Linked DNA regions of Callithrix jacchus. The protein of the gene in region 1 interacts with the protein of each later gene in a pairwise test. Links are inferred from orthologs where the notes say so. Each region holds a gene or a part of one and is shown on either strand. Other genes may lie near its edges.

What was found. The genes of interacting proteins can lie anywhere in the genome.
Region 2: the proteins of VPS52 (region 1) and WTAP interact in binary tests that used the Homo sapiens proteins (3 or more experiments, as listed by UniProt). The two-hybrid records come from large-scale screens. The link is inferred for Callithrix jacchus from reciprocal best matches to the Homo sapiens genes VPS52 and WTAP.

What each region holds. Positions count from the first base shown.
Region 1 is NC_133505.1:41,508,235-41,518,335, reverse strand, and holds the start of VPS52 (vacuolar protein sorting-associated protein 52 homolog), read left to right. Parts: upstream 1-3,522; 5' UTR 3,523-3,765; coding exon 3,766-3,855; intron 3,856-4,796; coding exon 4,797-4,881; intron 4,882-5,045; coding exon 5,046-5,098; intron 5,099-5,274; coding exon 5,275-5,350; exon of another isoform or gene 5,351-5,352; intron 5,353-5,514; exon of another isoform or gene 5,515-5,517; coding exon 5,518-5,585; intron 5,586-5,886; coding exon 5,887-6,062; intron 6,063-6,424; coding exon 6,425-6,575; intron 6,576-6,862; coding exon 6,863-6,963; intron 6,964-7,074; coding exon 7,075-7,207; intron 7,208-7,332; coding exon 7,333-7,390; intron 7,391-7,729; coding exon 7,730-7,863; intron 7,864-8,332; coding exon 8,333-8,488; intron 8,489-9,567; coding exon 9,568-9,686; intron 9,687-9,964; coding exon 9,965-10,088; intron 10,089-10,101. Other genes in the region: RPS18 (small ribosomal subunit protein uS13), read right to left, coding at 2,708-2,806, 3,325-3,327. UniProt on the Homo sapiens protein: Acts as a component of the GARP complex that is involved in retrograde transport from early and late endosomes to the trans-Golgi network (TGN).
Region 2 is NC_133505.1:166,519,994-166,530,174, forward strand, and holds the start of WTAP (pre-mRNA-splicing regulator WTAP), read left to right. Parts: upstream 1-4,647; 5' UTR 4,648-4,852; exon of another isoform or gene 4,853-4,916; intron 4,917-5,029; exon of another isoform or gene 5,030-5,183; intron 5,184-7,260; exon of another isoform or gene 7,261-7,374; intron 7,375-10,181. UniProt on the Homo sapiens protein: Associated component of the WMM complex, a complex that mediates N6-methyladenosine (m6A) methylation of RNAs, a modification that plays a role in the efficiency of mRNA splicing and RNA processing.

The DNA of each region.
Region 1 (10,101 bases):
ATCCCAAGATCACCAACTTAATTTTATCAGTGCCCAGAACTGACTGCACACGTTATTAAAAAGAAACTAATGTGCCAGGCATGATGGTGCACACCTGTAATCCCAGCACTTTGGGAGGCCGAGGCAGGTGGATCACCCGAGGTCAGGACTCTGGAGTTCGAGACCAGCCTGACCAACATGGTGAAACCCTGTCTGTACTAAATACAAAAAATCAGCCAGGTGTGGTGGCACATGCTTGTAATCCCAGCCAACTGGGAGGCTGAGACAGGAGAATCACTTGAGCCCAGGCAGCGGAGGATGCAGTGAAACGAGACCGAGCCATTGCACTCAAGCCTGGGCAATAAGAGCAAAACTCATCTTAAAAAACAAACAAACTAATGCTTACTTTGGTAGCGTAATATCAACGCCAGCACTAGCACTCATGCCATCTAAACTCATGAACCAAAGTGATTTGGATAGTGAAAGATGGACTGAATAGTGAGGTCCTCCTCTCATTTATGTCCAACTAGAAACTCAGAATGTGGCCCTATTTGGATATGAGGTCGTTAGGGAAATAATTAGGTAAAATGTTACACTTGATTAGGGTGGGCTCTAAATCCAATGACAAGTCATCTTTTAAGATAAACACACAAAGACGATCACGAGATGACAACAGATTGGAGTAATGCAGCTACAAGCCAGGGAACACTAAGAATTCCTGACAACCACCAGAAGAGAGGGAGAGACAAGGTAGGATTCTTAAATGCCCCCAGCGCCAAGAGTAATTTTCTGATTAGTTTATATGAACTTGTTATAGTAGCCCCCAGGAAATTGCAAGAAAGAAATCAAAGGTTGACTTCACAGTGGCTCACGCCTTTAATTCCAGCACTTTGGGAGGCTGAGGCTGGATGATCACTAAGCCCAGGAGTTTCAGACCAGCCTAGGCAACACAGTGAGATCCTGTCTCTAAAAAACAAACAAAAAAAACTGCACTCCAGCCTGGGCAACGGAGACTCTGTCTTGGAAAAAAATAAAAATAAATGTGACCAAGGGTCAAATTGGCAGGCTGATTCAGAAGACAGTAGTCTTTCAAATTTATTTATTAAATGACAGGGTTTCACCCATGTTGGCCAGGCTGGTCTCAAACCCCTGACCTCAGGGGATCCACCCACCTCAGTATCCCAAGGTGCTGGAATTACAGGGATGAGCCACTGCACCCAGCCTCAAATTTTATTAAATGTCCTATTTCAGAAGCCAACCATCAAATTCCATAAACTTAGAAATGAAAAGATTTACTTCAGGCCAGGTGTGGTGGCTCAGGCCTTTAATTCCAGCACTTTGGGAGGCCAAGGCAGGTGGATCACCTGAGGTCAGGAGTTCAAGACCAGCCTGGCTAACATGGTGAAACCCCATCCCTACTAAAAATACCAAAATTAACTAGGTTAATTCCAGGTGCCTGAAATCTCAGCTGCTCGGGAGGCTGAGGTAGGAGAATTGCTTGAATCCGGGAGGTGGAAGTTGTAGTGAGCCAAGATGGCACTACTGTACTTCAGCCTGGGCAAAAGAGCAAGACTGTCTCCCCACCAAAAATGGCAGGAATTTTCCTTTACAGTCCTCAAACCTGCCAAGAGTATCCCTACTACTATCCATTCCCTAACATGCAACAGAAGCTTAGAACTGTACGACAGGCCTAGCCCTGTACCCATGAAATGGACACATACTGGTAGGCTATTTCCACAACTAACTACACATTCTGATTAATTAAAAAAAAAAAAAAAAAAAAAAAAAAGCATTTATCTACAAAGGAGTTCCTTACATTTGTGGAGAGAAATATGCAAGTGAAGCAATGTTCTTTGCATTCCCTTTTGGATTCTTACAAGTGAATGAAATCTGTACTCCTTCCCACTTTGATAGGAAAGGAGTGTCAATTTTGGCATCTGAGTAAACGTCCTGCCCAGACTTCCTCAACCCTCCATTTACAGGTTTCTTCACACTTTATCTGTTGGCATGTCTACTTATCCCTCAAGAAGCCCAATAATCCTCCCGTTCCCAGGGCATATAAATTTCACAGGAAAGGTTGCTATTATGATGGTGGTTTGGGTAATGAAACAAATCTAGCAGGGATCTCACAAGCTCACGGTTCAGGGGGATCTTAGCGAATTTGGGTAGGTAACCATACCCCGCCCCACTTCCCCCGGTGAAGTATATTGGGCTTGATCTTAAACCACTCAATTGGCTTTACCTAACCTCTGTGATAAATGTAGTAAGGACTAAAGGGGTTAGTTTCTCCCTAAACTATTTTCTTTTTCTTTCTGCGACGTAGTCTCTCTCTGTCGCCAAAGCTGGAGTGCAGTAGCACGATCTCGGCTCAGGGCAATCTCTGCCTCCCAGGGTCAAGCGATTCTCCAGCCTCCGCCTCCCGAGTAGCTGGGACTACAGGCGCGCACCACCACGCCCAGCCAATTTTTTTGTATTTTTAGTAGAGACGGGATTTCACCATGTTGGCTAGGATGGTCTGCATCTCTTGACCTTAGGATCCGCCCGCCTCGGCCTCCCAAAGTGCTGAGATTACAGGCGTAAGCCACTGCGCCCGGCTTTCTTTTCTAAATCCGGCAGTCCAGGTGATCTGGATGAGACTCAAGTTTCCCCAACGTTCCTTTATTTTTGCTTATATCTTTACAACCTAATTCTCATTTACATTCCCTATTCCTTATCCTACTTCACTTACCTTAATGGCAGTGATGGCAAAGGCTATTTTCCGCCGCCCATCGATGTTGGTGTTGAGTACTCGCAAAATATGCTGGAACTTTTCAGGGATCACTAGAGACTGATTGAAAAAGTATGGGGAGATATCAGACACAGTAAACTACTATCAAACAGTAAGGTTGCTAAGGCAAACGACCTTTATAAAGAAAAGTTAAAAACCTGTCACACAAGTGGTCAAAGACACCCGACCCCCATCCCTTAGGTTTTCACATCACAGCAAACTCCTCAAGTCCTGCAGAGAGTAGGAACATGAAGCATTCAAGCGTGGGGAAAAAAAACCTCTGGAGAGAGGAGGCAGGACTCCTGCCCATTTCCAAAAGTGCACTCTGCGTGGCAGAAGCCAGAGTCCCTATAATACGCCCAAGCCTTTGGCAGCTTCCGTGTGCCCAAGCAGTGACCCTTCCTTGGGCCCGCTACCCGGAATTGGAAATCTTTGGTGTCCCTTTCCAGGGGCGCGATTCAAGGCTCCATACAGAAGGTTGCAGGCCGTCAGGACAGAGCGTTTCTAGAACCCTGACAGCCGGCTTCCCTTGCCCGAGTTCCGATGTCGCTGGATCACGGCACAGCTTCCAGTCTTACCATGGCGGCAGAACAAGCGGCGGCGTGTAAGCCTCCTGTGGAAGAGAAAACGGAAGTGACGCAATGTTCTTATATAGCTTTAGGAGGAAGAGGCGGAGCTATCTAAGAGACGTGCTTCCGGAAACTTTCAGCGCGAGCTGCCTGGACTCTGGAGAGTATGACTTAGGTACCATAACTTCCGGTACAGCCTTTCTTTACAGTTCGCAAAGTTCATGGGTATGAGAGCAGCGAAGGTTCCGGAGCTAGTTTGTGCTTTAGACTTCCATGTTTCCATTTGCAGTTGGGTGAAGTGATTAGAGCTGAAAAGGAACCCCTGGAGTCAGACAATTTAACTCAAACATCTGGGAAGTTCGCTCTGAGGAAGGCTGTCTGGGACTTGAACTCCACTCTAGGGAACGGACTTGCCGGGACTGACAGTGGCCGGAAGTGAGGCTGCGGGGAATGGCCGCCGCTGCGACCATGGCTGCTGCCGCCCGGGAACTGGTATTGCGGGCTGGAACCTCAGATATGGAGGAGGAAGAGGGCCCGCTGGTGAGAGCGCGGAGCTGTTTCTCCTCCTAAAGGCCTGGGCTGGGTTTAGGCACGGGTGGGAACTTGGCTGCTACGCGTGATGTTACCTGTTTGGCTCCTCTTACCCTTCCCGCTGATCAGACCCAACCCTGAGCAGGTCCCTAGTGGCTGCAACTCATGTCCTGGGGCACAGTTTCAACTTCTCTCCATATTTTGGGGTAGAGTCAAGAAACAATATAGTATAAAGGTTAAGAACATGGCCTCTGGAGCCAGACTGCCTTGGTTCTGATTCCATTTCTGCCACTTAACACGCTGTGTGCCCTTGGGCAAGTTAATTGGCTTCTCTGTGGCATCATTTCCCACACCTATAAGGTGAGGAAGAGAGAACCTATTTTATACATCATTGTTAGACTCAGATAAATGAGTATGTGTAAGATGGCACCTGGCACGCAGGTAAACACTGTGTTTTGACATTTCTAGAAAGTCTGGGGTTCCCCAGAGGTCTGAGATAACAGGAGTCTGAGGGTCCTAAATTTAAGTGCAAGTTCTGCTCTATTCTCTGCAATTTCTAGTTTTCCTCATTTAGTCATCTCCACTGTCTTGTCATTAGTTTTGTTTTGTTTTTTGAGACGGGACTCCCTGTGTTACCCAGGTGGTTGACCTTGAACTCCTGGTCTCAATCTTCGCGTCTCAGCTTCTAAGTAGTTGGGACTACAAGGAGCCCACCACCATGCTGGGCTACCTCCACTATCTTACTGAATCATCTAACTCCTTGTCATATTCCTTACCCAACAGCACAAAATAGGAGAGTGGGTACAGTGGGAGACTTAGAATTTTTCAAAGCAGTACCTGTGCTCCCAGTAAAAGCACCTCTATATCACTTGAAGGACTTCGGGTATTTAATTATATATTTTCTTCTGTCTTTCCCCATTCCCTACTCCCATTAACCTATCCCTTTCTAGGCCAGTGGTCCTGGGCTCCAGGAACCACTGCAACTTGGGGAGTTGGATATTACTTCTGATGAGTACATCCTGGATGAAGTGGATGGTAAGTGATGGCATGGGTGGGTGTAGTAGCTGTAATTTGAGAGGCATGTGGGCTAGAAGGAATAAGGTAGGGATTGGTGTGCAGATACTCAGTGTGGGGAGAGGGAATTGTGGTCCAGCTCCAATGTGTGGAGCTGGACCCTTATGATAAACTTCTATTTCCAGTTCACATTCAGGCAAATCTGGAGGATGAGTTAGTAAAGGAAGCTCTTAAAACGGTGAGGCTTTCCCCTATACTAATCTGCCCTTCTATCTACTCTCCCCAAAAGGAAAAACAAGTCTCTTGCTTTTGTTATATTAGCCTGGTGTCTGACCCTTTAGTCCTTCACTGATTCTGTTACAGTGTCCCTTTACTGAGACTTCCTCCTGACCTGTCATCTTTATGTTCTCCCAGGGTGTAGATCTTCGTCACTATTCAAAGCAAGTTGAGCTGGAGCTACAGCAGATTGAACAGAAATCCATTCGGGATTGTATCCTCCAGCAGAGGGAAGGGGCAGTGCTATTACCCTGGGGATTTTGTGGTATGTGGGGTCCACATCTCTGAGGTTTCTGTCCCTTCAGAGAGAAATTGGAGAGGTTCTACAAATCTGAGGATTTCCATCTTCACCATGAGGCCCCTTGACTTTTTGTGGGTCAGATATTCAAGAGAGTGAGAATATAGCATCTCTGCACAACCAGATCACAGCCTGTGATGCTGTCCTGGAGGTTAGTAATTATGACCTGTGACCTGTAATAGCTACTCTGAACTAGATCATGGACTCTCATGCCATTTTTAGGTCATCATCCTCAAGATGGGACAGGTTAGGATCATTTTCAAGATGACCTCAGGAGCCTTTTTTGTTATTACTGTGATATTTAATGTTATTTCATGGCAGTCTATGGGTTTTATCATCTGCCACCCTCATGGACTGATAAATACTGAGGACTTCACCAAGAGGCCTTGGTGGCCCACTTATCCCCTACCAGCTCTAGAGCACTCCAGCAACATCTTCTACCCTTCCTACAGCGAATGGAGCAGATGTTGGGAGCTTTTCAGAGTGACCTCAGCTCCATCAGCTCTGAGATTCGGACACTGCAGGAACAGTCAGGAGCCATGAATATTCGACTTCGAAATCGCCAGGCAGTTCGAGGGAAACTTGGGGAACTTGTTGATGGTCTGGTGGTGCCTTCTGCTCTGGTCATGTGAGTTACCAGTTTGAAGGGTCATAATGTCCATAGTAGATGAATGGGCTGGGGTGACCTACCCTCTTTACCGCATGGGTCTCCTAGCTCCCGGTTAAGTGATTTTTAGAAATTAGTAGCCGGATTAACAACCATTTCTTTAGGCATGCTTTAGGCATCAAAGATTAAGATTAAGAATGATGCAGGATCAGGTGTGTAGTGGGGAAGTCCAGGAATAGAAAACTTTGTACATGTGTCCTGATATATAGTACATTGCAGGGTGGTAGCATGACAGAGGCTGGATGTAAGGAATGTGGTCTAGGTCTGGTTTAGGGATGTCTGGGTCTCCCTTATAACTCATCCCACCCCTTCCTGCTCCCCAGGGCAATTCTAGAGGCTCCAGTGACAGAACCCAGGTTCTTGGAACAGCTACAGGAGCTGGATGCCAAGGCAGCCGCAGTCAGGGAGCAGGAAGCTAGAGGCACGGCGGCCTGCGCAGATGTCAGAGGCGTGCTTGATCGGCTCCGGGTCAAGGTGGGAAGTAGGGATGGATACCCTGGAGGCTACTAGAAGCAGCCTTCCCAAGACCTTCAGTATGGATCTCCTTGGCAGGGCTCACTGTAGCCTGTCTCCAAGAACTTCACCCTGCCTTTTCCGGGCAGCCCCATTCTTGCCTCCCTGGGTTTCCCTGAAAATCTTAAATACCAAAGAGGTATTCACCACCCTTCTCTCTATGTTTACTATTTGTTGCTTCCCCCAATTCCTCTCATACAATAAAAGGGTTGCAGCTTCATGCCCTGTGTTTGGTTCCCCACATCTAGGCAGTGGCGAAGATCCGAGAGTTTATCCTCCAGAAGATTTATTCCTTCAGGAAACCAATGACCAACTATCAGATCCCCCAGACAGCCCTGCTGAAGTACAGGTCACCACCCCGGGGAAGTGCATGGATGGCCTTTGAGCTTTTGAGCAGCCTAGTGTGGGCATCTGGTTTCTTGGGCAGATAGGTAGACTGACATGTTCTTGACGCTTCTAGGTTCTTCTATCAGTTTCTGCTGGGCAATGAACGAGCAACAGCAAAGGAGATCAGGGATGAATACGTGGAGACGCTGAGCAAGATCTACCTGTCTTACTACCGCTCTTACCTGGGGCGGCTCATGAAGGTGCAGGTAAGGCCAGGAGGGAGAGGCATTTCTGGGCACATGGACTGGGAGGAGGAGACATCTCTGGGCAAGGAATATTTTACTGTGCTATGGAAAGAGTTGGTTATCAGTTCTCTTTTCTATTTTCTTAGTATGAGGAAGTTGCTGAGAAAGATGATCTGATGGGTGTGGAAGATACGGCAAAGAAAGATATCCTAGTACTGGGGAACCCTCATGCCAGGCCTTGAGAGTGGGAGGACTTTTGGCTCCAGCCACCAAGGCACTGCTCCTTACCTTTTCCTATGGGACTGAAACCTTTTGGAAAGTGATGAAAGCTATAGCCTCTTTTCCTAGAAAGATGTACACATCATTTTGTTACATAGTTTTGCATATGATTGCAGAGGAGGGAGAGATCCCCTGAAGCCCATTCACAGATGTCAGGTGAAGTGGGGCCCCAGTACTGGGAAAGAAGGCTGGCTGGGGTCCCTGCAGATAGTCTTTGGGCCCAGTTATGGTCTTATTGTTTTCCCTGACTCTGACCCATCTTACGGTTCTTCTCAAAGCCATCGCTCCGCAGCAGGAACACCATTTTCACCCTGGGAACCCGTGGCTCTGTCATCTCCCCGACTGAACTTGAGGCCCCCATTCTGGTGCCTCACACAGCCCAGCGTGGAGAGCAGAGGGTATGAGGAGGAACAAGCTTCAGTCATGAAGGAGACTCTGAGCATGAGGGGAGGAAAGGCCACCCCTCAGGGCAAAGCTTCCCAACCTGCAGTCCCTGCCTCAATCCCCCTAGACTTGAGAGTGGGCTTCTCCAATCACTCCAGCCTACTGTAATGTGAAAAGAGCTGGGAACCATTGACTTAAGGGCATGTAGAGGGGGGAGACTGGCTGAGGGGAATGATGGTCAGAGGCAGGTGTTGAGGTGGATGCAGGAGTAGCGACAGCAAGAGGGTATAGGCCCTTCTTTTACCCCTGTGTTCCCTGAGCTTTTCAGTGCCCATTCCGGATACTCTGACAGCCCGGACCTAGATGGATGTGAAGGGTCTGCTCGGCTCTTATTACCCAGGTTTACTGATTTTCCAGCCATATCCATGGGAAGTCAGTGTTGGGGTCCATCCCTTCTGTTTTTCTTTACTTCTCCTCTCCTAGTATCCATTTGAGGCTCTCTTCCGCAGCCAGCACTATGCCCTCCTAGACAATTCCTGCCGCGAATATCTTTTCATCTGTGAATTTTTTGTTGTGTCTGGCCCGGCTGCACACGACCTGTTCCATGCTGTCATGGGCCGTACACTCAGCATGACCCTGGTAAGATTCCTATTTCAGGTACTGTTCAATACCTTTGTCCCAGTCTTCATCAGCAGCATAGTGGGGTCATGACTGGTAGAACTGAAATCAGGATCACCTCATTCTAAAATGTCTAAGCCTTGGCTGGGCCTGGTAGCTCATGCCCAAAATCCCGGCACTTTGGGAGTTCGAGGCAGTTGGATTGCCTGAACTCAGGAGTTTGAGACCAGCCTCGGCAACAACCTCATCTCTACAAAAAATAAAAAATTATCTGACTGTGTGTTGGTGTGTGCCTCTGGTCCCAGCTACTGGAGATGCTGAGGTGGAGGGATTGCTTGACCCCAGGAGGTCAAGGCTGCAGTAAGCTCTGCCCTCCAGCCTGGGAGACAGTGAGGCCTGTCTCAAAAAAACAAAAACAAAAGGTCTAAGCCTTGTTACTTAGACTTGTTATGATGTTACTCCTCATGAAATCCTCAGAGCTTAGGGTCCCTGAGATTACCCCTAGTGAGAATTGAGGGACCCCTAAATCTTGGTGCTCAAGCCCCGGACCCAATCTCAGTCCTGAACTCTGCTATGATAGACTTGTAATCATAGATCCTGGTGGGGCTGGGTGCAGTGCCTTATGCCTGTAATCCCAGCATTTTGGGAGATGAAGGCAGGAAGATTGCTTGAGGTCAGGAGTTCGAGACCAGCCTGGCCAACATGGATAAATCCTCTCTACTAAAAATACAAAAATTAGGTGTGGTGGTGGGCACCTATAATTCCAGCTACTCAGGAGGCTGAGGCCAGAGAATTGCTTGAACCTGGGAGGCAGGTGGAGGTTGCAGTGAGCTGAGTTTGTGCCATTGCATTCCAGCTTGGGCGACAAGAGCAAAACTCTGTCTAAAAAAAAAAGCCAAAAACAGATTCTGGTGGGCAAGGCAGCAGGACCACCTGGGTGGCAGTGGACAGGAAAGCAGGGGGCATTTTTCCCTTTTAGGTCTCTCCCTTCTCTCTCGCCAGTGCATCATCCCCAATGAAACACATGTGTTTGTTCACACAGCCACTAAGGACAACAAACTAACATTCTCTTTTAAACCTCTGCTTATTCCCAATCACAGAAACACCTGGAGTCCTATCTCACTGACTGCTATGATGCCATTGCTGTGTTTCTCTGTATCCACATTGTTCTCCGGTTCCGCAACATTGCAGCAAAGAGGGATGTTCCTGCCCTGGACAGGTCACTGAATTCTGGTCCTTGATGCCCAACAGGCCATTAACTCTCTTGGCCTTACAATGGCTCTGCCCTGACCTTAGAGTCCTACTGACTTGGTATCATCAACCTTTATTCCTGTTCATTTGCTCTGGAGGCAGTACTGCTGCCTTTTGACTCACATTTCTCCAACCACCGCCCTCTACAACTGACTGTTGACCACTGAATTGAATGATGCCCCACTCCCTTGCATCCCTCTCCCACATTCTTTGCCAGCTGACCTCTGATTCTGATTAAGTCCACAGGTACTGGGAACAGGTGCTTGCCTTGCTATGGCCACGGTTTGAGATGATCCTGGAGATGAATGTCCAGAGCGTCCGAAGCACTGACCCTCAGCGCCTTGGAGGGTTGGATACTCGGCCCCACTATGTGAGGGAGGGCA
Region 2 (10,181 bases), about 130 Mb from region 1:
ACTTAGCCAGGTATGGTGGCAAGCACTTGTAGTCCCAGCTTCTGAGGAGGCAGGAGGATCACTTGAGCCCAGGAGATCAAGGCTGCAGTGAGTCATGTTTGTGCCACTGGACTCCAGCCTGGATGGGAGAGCAAGACTCTATTTTTAAAACAAAAACAAACAAAACAAACAACAAACAATATAAATGCTATCTGCCTTTAATAACTAATTTTCAGAGTAACAAACTGGTATAATAGTCACTACCAATGATGGAAAAATAGTTTCCCTCTTCTCATTCTCTCTTCTCTATACTAGAGAGTACATTTTTATTTATTCAGTATTGCAATCAATAGTATTCATTTTCTTTTTGATGTTAAAACTGCCCTAAAGTTGGCCCGTGGGAGATCCTTCAAGCTGACTCCCATGTCTCTAAAATTTATTTTTGAGAGACTGAAAATACAAATGAACAATGGCCACAATATACATAAAAACAGAATTCTGGCCCATTACCTGCAACAACTAGCCCAGTAAACCAATCATTTATCTACCATAAGTGCTGTACACCCAGCCTAAAAGCCAAACCTGCTATCAACCAGACTCGTAGTAAGGCAAACTGCTATCTCTGGTAGCCATCCAGGAAGCTAAATAGTAACTTCTACGACATCAGCTCAAAATTACCAGGACTTGATTAAAAATTAACAGCTTCCCTAATTTTTGTCCCCACTCCTAGTTTATGACCATCCAGAGAAAGTCACATATGCTCCTTTAACCAACCCCATGGGATGCCAACTTCTAGTTAGCTTCCAGCTTCCCCATGCAACAGCTTCCCCTCAGGCATTCCTGTGAAACTTTCCCTTGTCCACTGTAAAGCTTTCCCACTCCTCTGCATGCCTTTGAACCTCTGCCAAAACGTAAGTGATGGTGCTGACTCCTTTGCTACAGCAAGTTCACAACAGACTTTGCTTTTCTCATTTGGATTGCCTTGGCTTATTTCCACATTTTATTGAGGTATAATTTACATGCAATAAAATGCATCCCTTATAGTGCCACAATTTAATGAATTTTGAAAAATGTATATCTCTCTGTTAACCAGGACACAGAACATGTCCATCACCCCCAAAAGTTCTCCCATTTTCCTTTCCAGTCAATTCCTTCTCTCTTCTCCTCCTAGCCAACTACTGATCTACTGTTTATCACTATGGATTAGTTTTGTTAGTGCTTCTAAATACTGTTGGCATAGCCTCATCGGTCTAAGCACTTCCTTTGCATTCAGGCACAATGAAATACCTGGCTCAACTCGTTTTTTTCCCAGCCCAGAGCTGGAATCAGCCAATTCTTCCAGGAGCTCTGGATCTCTTCTTTAGTGGAAATGGAATTCAGAAACCAAGATCTGCGTGTCAGATGTGCTCATTGTTACTGTAGGGTGACCTTGCCTGTACATCCTAGTTCACCTGGGACTGTTCCAGTTTTAACCTGAAAGTCCAGCATCCACAGAAAACCCCTCAGTCCATGGCAAACTTGACCAATTGGTCACCCTTGGGCTTCTAGGCCCTTTCAGTGCACAGAACCAGGAAATTTTATTTTGCAGTTTAAATTTTTTTCTTCTTTCTCTTTGATAGGGTCTACAGCCCAGGCTGGAGTGCAATGGTAAGATCACAGCTCACTGTAACTTTAAACTCCTAGGCTCAACTGGTCCTCCAATCTCAGCCTCCCAAGTAGCTAGGACTATATAGGCACAGGCTACCACCCCTGGCTATTTTATCTGGACTTTGTAGAGCCAGGGTCTCACTGTGTTGACCAGGCTGGTCTTGAACTCCTAGGCCACTTTGGCTTCCTAAAGCACTGGGCTTACAGGTGTGTGCTTCTGCACCCAGCCCTGCAGTTTAAACTCAGTATTACAGACTATTTTTTTCTGAACTTCTTAAAATTTTTTATATTAGTTTTTTTCAGGATCAGTGAACTTTTTTTTTTTTCACAAAGTTCTCATATTGTATTCTTCAGTTCCATTAGAACATCTTAAAAATTGTTTTAAATTAAAAAAAAAATGGAGACAGAGGTCTCACTATGTTGCCCAGGCTGGTCTCAAACTCCTGGACTCTAGTGATGCTCCTGCCTTGGCCTACCAAAGTGCTGGGACTGCAAGCATCAGCCACCCAGCAGTTCAAACCAGTGTTGTTCAAGGATCAACTGTGTATCCTAATGAGGAAAAAAATGCAAAGGAGCTTTCAGCTTCACTAACTGCTTTATGATTGACTAATATTGTTGCTGTTGTTTTCAAACTATGTACTGTATGTGATATGATGGGATAACATAAGTACTTTAATGTTACTGTGTACAAAGACTTCTAGTGTATGAGAGAATGATATAAATGGAAGATCCAAGAAGTTCAGAAAGAGGCCGGCTGGCTGAGGCCTGCAGTCCCAGCACTTTGGTAGGCCAAGGCAGGTATGCAGATTTCTGTATATGCCTGCAGAAGGTCCTACATCCAATCTCCTGCATATAAGGAGGAAAGACTACACTATCTCAACACAGATACATTACTAGAGGACTGTGTTCAAAAGCCCCAAGGGGCCGACTGTGGTGGCTCACGTCTGTAATCCCAGCACTTTGGGAGGTCTAGGCAGGCGGATCACCTGATGTCAGGAGTGAGTCTGGTCAACATGGTGAAACCCCATCTCTACTAAAAATACAAAAATTAGCCAGGGGTGGTGGTACATGCCTGTAATCCCAGCTACTCTGGAGTCTGAGGTGGGAGAACTGCTTGAACCCAGGATGGGGAGGTTGCAATAAGCTGAGATTGTACCACTGCACTCTAGCCTGGGCAACACAGCAAGACTGTCTTAAAAAAAAAAAAAAAAAAAGCCATACTTAAGAATTTTCATTTGTTTCAATTTGCTTTCAACTCTGAGGTTTACTTTTTTATTTACTTGTCGGCTATATAAAACTAAAAGTTCAAAGACAGAGAATTCTTGTTTCTATCTCCCCTCCACTCTTGCCCACCTCTCTTTATAGGTAACTATTTTAAGTTTCCGGGATATCCTTCCAATCCCTCCTCCCAAAATAAGCATATATACATAAATATGCATGTTAAATATAAATATTTTTATATATTAAGATATATAAAATAAGCAACACATGGTTTTCTGAATCTTTTTTTTTTTTTTTTGAGACGGAGTTTCGCTCTTGTTACCCAGGCTGGAGTGCAATGGCACAATCTCGGCTCACTGCAACCTCTGCCTCCTGGGTTCAGGCAATTCTCCTGCCTCAGCCTCCTGAGTAGCTGGGATTACAGGCACGCACCACCGTGCCCAGCTAATTTTTTGTATTTTTAGTGGAGACGGGGTTTCACCATGTTGACCAGGTTGGTCTCGATCTCTCGTGATCCACCCGCCTCGGCCTCCCAAAGTGCTGGGATTACAGGCTTGAGCCACGGCGCCCGGCCCCTTCTGAATCTTTTTAAGGGCTGCATTGTATTCTATTGGATGGATGCACCATTGCCTATCCCTTCCCTATTAATGGATATTTAGGTTATCCCTAACTTTTGCTATGACAAATAGCACTGCAATAACCTTGTATACATATTGTTTCCATGTGTAGAGCTGTACCTTCAGAATAAGGTTAGGGTTAGAACTGCAAGGAGTAAGAATAAACAAACGTAATTTTGTACTCCACAGATTTTGAACCATTTTTCCACTCCCACCAGAAAGGTAATTTCAATGTGTATTTCCATTGTAAGTAAGGTGGAGCATCTTCCCACGTTTAAGGACCATTACTGTATTTTTTCTGAGAATGATTTGTTCATGTCCTTCCCCATTTTCTCCTTTGAATTTTGGACTTTTTGTTTTCAATTTTTGAGAGTTCTTGTGATACAAGTTGCAAAGACTTCTCCAGACTGATCTGATTCACGGGGAATGTAATACGACCATCTGGAGTGTACTTTAATCTTATCCTTAGAAATCACCTTACTACAAGACACTTCATTGGGGATAAACAGGTTTGATAAAGCCGGCTAAGGGCAGACCAATCGAAAGAATTACGTGATCCTCTAGTGTTTCGAGATTGTTCCACGTTCTTCAGGTAACACCGCCCTTACTCGGCAATCCAGATGGCGCAGTCTTGCTTCAGGGAGTCTGCTCGACTTGCAGGACCCCTTTAACTGGATTCACTAAGCCCATCGGGGCCGGCCGCCTTTCCCTCCTCAGAGTTAGCAAGGCGCCCTCAGAGCCGCGGTCGCCGCGCAACCTCCGGCACCAGAGAACAATAGCTCCTCGATACGTCCCCAGAGACGTCAAGGAGGAGCAAACCCGGCGTCCAGGAGGATACGCCTTACGACAGAAGAAAGGGAGGGCATCGGTTTCTAAGTTCTCAAAACTTACAGGTGAGCTTCTGCTAAGCGTAAACGCCCCCAGCTCGCCGCCCACAGCCTCTCTCGAGGTGGCACCTGGTCCTCCGACGCGCGGAAGCATCAAGGATGGGAGTCGCGACCACAGAGCGGCCAATGACGCGCCGCCTTCGCCCAGATCCCTCCGCACGAGGCCGTCCCGCAGACGCAGGTGGCCGCGGCGAGTGCGTCCACCAGGCGGCCACCTTCCCTTCCCGTGATGCCCCGCGGCTGACCTCCGACCTCGCCGTCCCGCCCCTCCAGCCGCTTCCCTTCCCGCCCCCACCGCCTTCGCTGAGCTCCGGCGGCCGCGGGGGCTCGCGCCAGGCTCCTGGGAAAAGACAGGGTGTGTTACCGGGGAGCAGCTGCTCCACTGCGCTTCGAGGCCCCGATCGGGCTAGGCCGGCGGCCGCCCTCCCCTCACTTTTCCTCTACTGGCGGGGCCCGGCGGCGGGCAGGTGACCGCGGCCACCCCTGAAAGGCGACTCTTCGGTGAGTGGGCCAGAACGCGAACATGGCGGAGCGATGAGGCTGGCGGGAGGCGGCAGGCAGTGGCGCTGGCAGGCGGCGCGTTCGGGCCGGGCTGTGGGGCGGGGCGGGGCGGAGCGGGGCCGGGCGACGGGGCGGGGCCGGGCGGCGGGGCCTGGTTTCCTCCCTCAGCGCCATTTTGTGGCAGCGAGACCCGCAAATAAAGGGGAGCGCCGGGGTTGTGGCGGGACTGGGAGCGCGGCGGAACCGGCGGCAGAGCGGTCCGGTTGCGCGGCGCCCGCGGGGCCCGGGCGGCGGGGCGAGCAGCGCGGCCTCGGCCTCCGCGACAGGAGAGGTAGGTGCGGGTCGGCTGGCGGGAGCGGCCGCGGGGGATCTCCGGGGCCTGAGGGCTGGGGCGCAGCGGCCACGGGCCGGTAAGGGGCGGGCAGGGCCGGAAGGATCACTCATGCCCCGGGCGGCACCGGTCTCTCGTAATCCGCTCTATCTTCCCGCCTGCGGAAACACTTCCGCCACCCCGATGCCATTTTATCTCCGTCCTCCGTCCCCGGGGTCCGGGGTGAGACGGGTGCTCCGGCGGTCGGAGAGACCGGCCATTCACGGAGGCCGAAGGTTGCCCTCCCCGGGCTGAACGGCGGCGCTCGTCCTTTCCTCTCCTCTCCTAGGTGTCGCCCCCTCCACCTCCCTCGGGCCTCTCCCGAGAACCTGGCGGCACTAACGAGTTCAGCAAGAAAAAAAAATCGTTCGTTCCCAGTATTTCGTGTCACGCAGTAGGTTGTTACTGCAGATAGGTTATCTTGTAGATTTCCATTTTCAAATGAGTGCGTGCATTCTGAGGAAAGAAACTGAATTATTTGCAGATTTTTGTGAAATCCAAGTCTCACCTTGGATCCCTGTGACAGTTATTCGATGATTTTTTTAACCGTTTTTCATAAGTCAGTGTACACATAGTAGAAAAGCCTAAGTTCTTGTTTTGATAAAGAAGAAAGTCGCTTGGTGGTTTGATCCCAAAGGACTATCTTAATATCCTGTGATTATGTAAAAAAAAAAAAAAAAATCTACCATTTAGTAGAAAAATTCGCCGAAAGTATTTTCGGTAATTATGTTACAGTTGCAAGTTGTATTTGTGTCCATTTTATCTAGTTTTTAATTTAGTTAATTCCATTGCTTCGGAAGATAAATGGACATCATAGATGCATCACAAGCTCTCTTTTTTTGTATTTTAAAATTTTGGCTGTTAACTTTTTTACGATAGATAAACATACTACGGACATTTAAAACCATAATTTAAAACCGTGAACGAAAAATATTTTCAAGGTGGGTACATTTTAATTCATTCAAGTAGCACTGATTAGGCAAAGGAAGTGGGGAAAGATTGCAGTCCACAAGTAGGCTTTTAATAAGGTTGAGGTTACGTTTTAACGGTTTGCGTAGGTGTGTTTCTAACAGTGCTTTTAGATCTTAAGGTATCTTAAGCACACACATAGTTTAAAACGTAAGTATTTTTATGTACTTTTTCAGTGGCAGAATTTGGACGAGCTACCGAAATTTCTAGCTCCCAGAGGATGAAAGTAATAATAGTATGTCCCAGGCACTGCTGATTTTTACATGGCTCCTTTATGTCTAGCTTTTCCAATTGAACGTTGAGTCATGTTTGTTCAAAATATTGTTGTGTATTGTCTGTCAGAAATAAGCTGGTAGAGATGAAACAGAAAATGTGTAATAGCTCTATGATGTGGAGATGAGCACTGTCGCTATTTGTACAGTACGTTAAAGCATCCAAGATCTCTTACGGTCTTGTATGTAGTATTGAATCCCCTCGAATATATTGTTTAGCAGTTTTGATCATTATATATTTCTTGTTCTTCAAAATTGTATGTTAGTAGGTCCTTCAGCAAAACAAGACTGAAGATAATATTTTGGTTTTTTCTTGTTTTTACTTTTTAAATTATTTCCAGTGCACTTTTCTGCCTCTAAATGTTGTTTCTTGTAGTTACTAAGCTTACCACCGAAAAACTTTTCAGTATCTTTACAATAGTATGCTTCATTGTGTATAACAAGGCGTTTCATCTGACTAGAACATAGTGCTATAAATATTTTCTGCCTTTGAAGATATAGTTAGTAGAATTTAATTTTTTCCAAGTGCACATGAAAGTTGCCTTTTATGTTCATATTTTATTTGAAAAATTTTATTTATATAGCATGTTGTGCTGAAAGCATCACTATTTGCAGCACTTTGAGACAGGCAAAATTATGTTTTGGTGACTTGGAAACTGCAAGGGTTAAATGACTTACTCAAAATCACACATGACGGAGGGTAAGGAAAAGGTGGCCTTTCAGTTCTGATCAGTACCGTGCTACTATAGTGTCTGAAGATTGGTTTCTTACATTCAGCTATGATTTGTTTCACCAAGGTACCGTGCTTTCTTACTGAAGTTGTGTTGGCTGGCCCTTGCCTCTGTTCAGAGGGAACTGAGTTGCCTAACTTTATGATGCGGAGAGCCAGGAAGCTACTGGGATCTGGGATGGTAGGCACCTAGCCAGTCTAAACCGAACTCCCTACTAAGCTGTTTTTCTCTGTTATGGAATCAAGAGTAGATGGTGGTCCTGATAGTCTAAGTTTGAGATATATTATCTCTAAATTATCTACATAAATAACTGAAACCTTTACGTAATTTAAAAAGTAATTATCATGTTACCACCTTTTTGAGGGGCAAATTTGAGGTCCTTATCCCCAATGTATTAATTAATAACTGTTTTAATCACCTAATGACTCACAGTCATTTTCATCCTGGAAAATGGGAACTAACTTTGACTTTGAAAAGTGCTGTTGTTAAATGTGTGACTCATAAGTATTGAGTATATTTTCTTTATTATTTTTCCTTAGGATTCAATTTTAATTGACTCCAAATGATGATATGATCATTCTGTTTTTTGTGATACGAGAATAGATTGTTCGGAGAACCTGGAATATTCATTGTCTTTATGAATCTAGAAATGACTTTAAATGGTTGTTGTTCTTGTCATTTGCACTAAAAAAAAGTTGACCTGGGGAATACCAAAGTTCTCAGTACATTTGTGCAGTGTGAATGTCAGAATTACGAATTAGCTTCTATTTTGACCAAATAGTTGAATGTTGCAGATAGTTGTAAATTTTGAACCTGTTCTAATTTGCCTTTTCCCAGATGATTCAAAGTCAATTTGACTTTGTGGCATATCATGGACTTTTAAGGAAAGATTGATTTTTCATCAGATTAAAGTTGAAGAAGGACTCTCTTTGTAAATGTTGAGGCTCTGAATTTCCCAAGTTGGATACCCCAAACAACTAGAGTGATCTTAAAAGTGACTCTAAAAGTTGACTTAGGAAGTGTAGACATTTATCTAAAACCTGTATTTACCCCTGACTTACAAATAAAGAATTTTATTTTTAAACAAAATGTTAGTAAAAAGCACCATTTATTTAAAATCTGCTCAACATCAAACTTGTTAAAAAATAAAAGGACATAAGCCAGGTTTAGAAATTTCAATAACTGCAGGCTGGGCCTGGTGACTCACAGCTGTAATCTCAGCCTTTTGGATGCGCAGGCAGGAGGATCACTCGAGCCCAGGAGCCCAAGACCAGCCTGGGCAACATAGCAAGACCTCATCTCTACTAAGAAGGAAAAAAAAAATGTAGCTGGGCACGCCTCTGATCCCAGCTGCACAAGAGGCTGAGAGGCAGGAGGATCACTTGAGCCCAATAGATGGAGGCTGCAGTGAGCCATGATCAAGTCACTGCACTCCAGCCTGGGCGACACAGTGAGACCCTGTCTCAAAAAAATTCAAGTAACTTCTGTTTAGAATTCTAAATATTGGAGATGCCAAGAATTCTGCAGTAAAAGTTAGAAACAGTCATGAGGGCAGTATGATTATTATCCTCAACCTGTGAATTATCTTTTCATGTTTTTTATAGGAAAAGGGAAACTAATAATTAAATGCCCATTTTCTGCCAGTTACCACTGCTGAAGATTAATGTCTATCTTCAGAAATAGCACAGTATTTGGACCCTGTTTCTGGTAATTCTTTTTGAGATAGAGCCCGGGTTGTGGTAATTCTTGAGATGGGGTGCAGAGATTCTGCTACTTTTATATTTGCAAAGTTGATACCCTGTTTTAGAATACCAAGGTTATCAGAACTTTCTTCATGTGTTTCCCAGACCTTTTAATGCTCTTTAAAAGCAGATTATGATCTCATTTGTTGCTTACTAAGCTTGCAGTTAATTTTATTTTAATGGAATAAAAATATGGATACCTGTCTTTAAGAAGAGAATAAACAAGTAAACCTAGGGGAAGTATCCCATTGTAGAAACATATGCAAACGATCCTTGCCAAAATCCTGGCATGGGAATGTGAACCCTCTTGTATGAAAAGTCTGCCCTTTGCAGACTCAGGTTCTGTATCCCATGAATGCTGTATTTTTGATCCCAGTACTTTATTTTTATCTGAGTTTGATTGAAAACAATCCATGTATAAGTGGACCCATGCAGCTAAAACCTGGGTTCTTCAAGGGCCAACTGTAATAATTTATAAACTGGAATTTATATTGAATAGCATCCATGATACTTTAGTATTACAACTAAAATTATACATACTGAGTAGGTAGGATGCCCAATAACTAGATAACAGGTATATCAGCTAGCCTTAGTGATAAATTTAGCTGTTTCAAACTGTCATTCACAGATCTCTACCACAGTACTTGTTATGTGAAGTTCCTGGTTTGTTCTCAAAATTTTATGTTTACATATGCATAGATATAGGCACTTCTATGCTGGTTAAATATGTACAATTAAAAATATTATTGGCTGGCTCTGGTGGCTAATGCCTGTAATCCCCAGCACTTTGGGGGGCTGAGGTGTGTGGATCACCCAAGGTCAGCAGTTCCAGACCAGCCTGGCCAACATGGCCCCATTTCTACTAAAAATGCAAAAAGTAGGCCAGGCATAGTGGCTCACATCTGTAATCCCAGCACTTTGGGGGTTGAGGCAGGTGGATCGCAAAGTCAAGAGATCGAGACTATCCTGGCCAACATGGTGAAACCCTGCTTCTACTGAAAATACAAAAATTAGTTGGGCATGGTGGCTCATGCCTATAGTCCCAGCTATTTAGGAGTCTGAGGCAGGAGAATTGCTTTAACCTGGGAGGTGGAGGTTGCAGTGAGCTGAGATCATGCTGTTGCACTCCAGCCTGGTGATAGCAAGACTCCATCTCAAAAAATAAAAAAGGCCGGGCATGGTGGAAGGAGGGTGGATCACGAGGTCAGGAGTTCAAGACCAGCCTAACCAGTATGGCGAAACCCC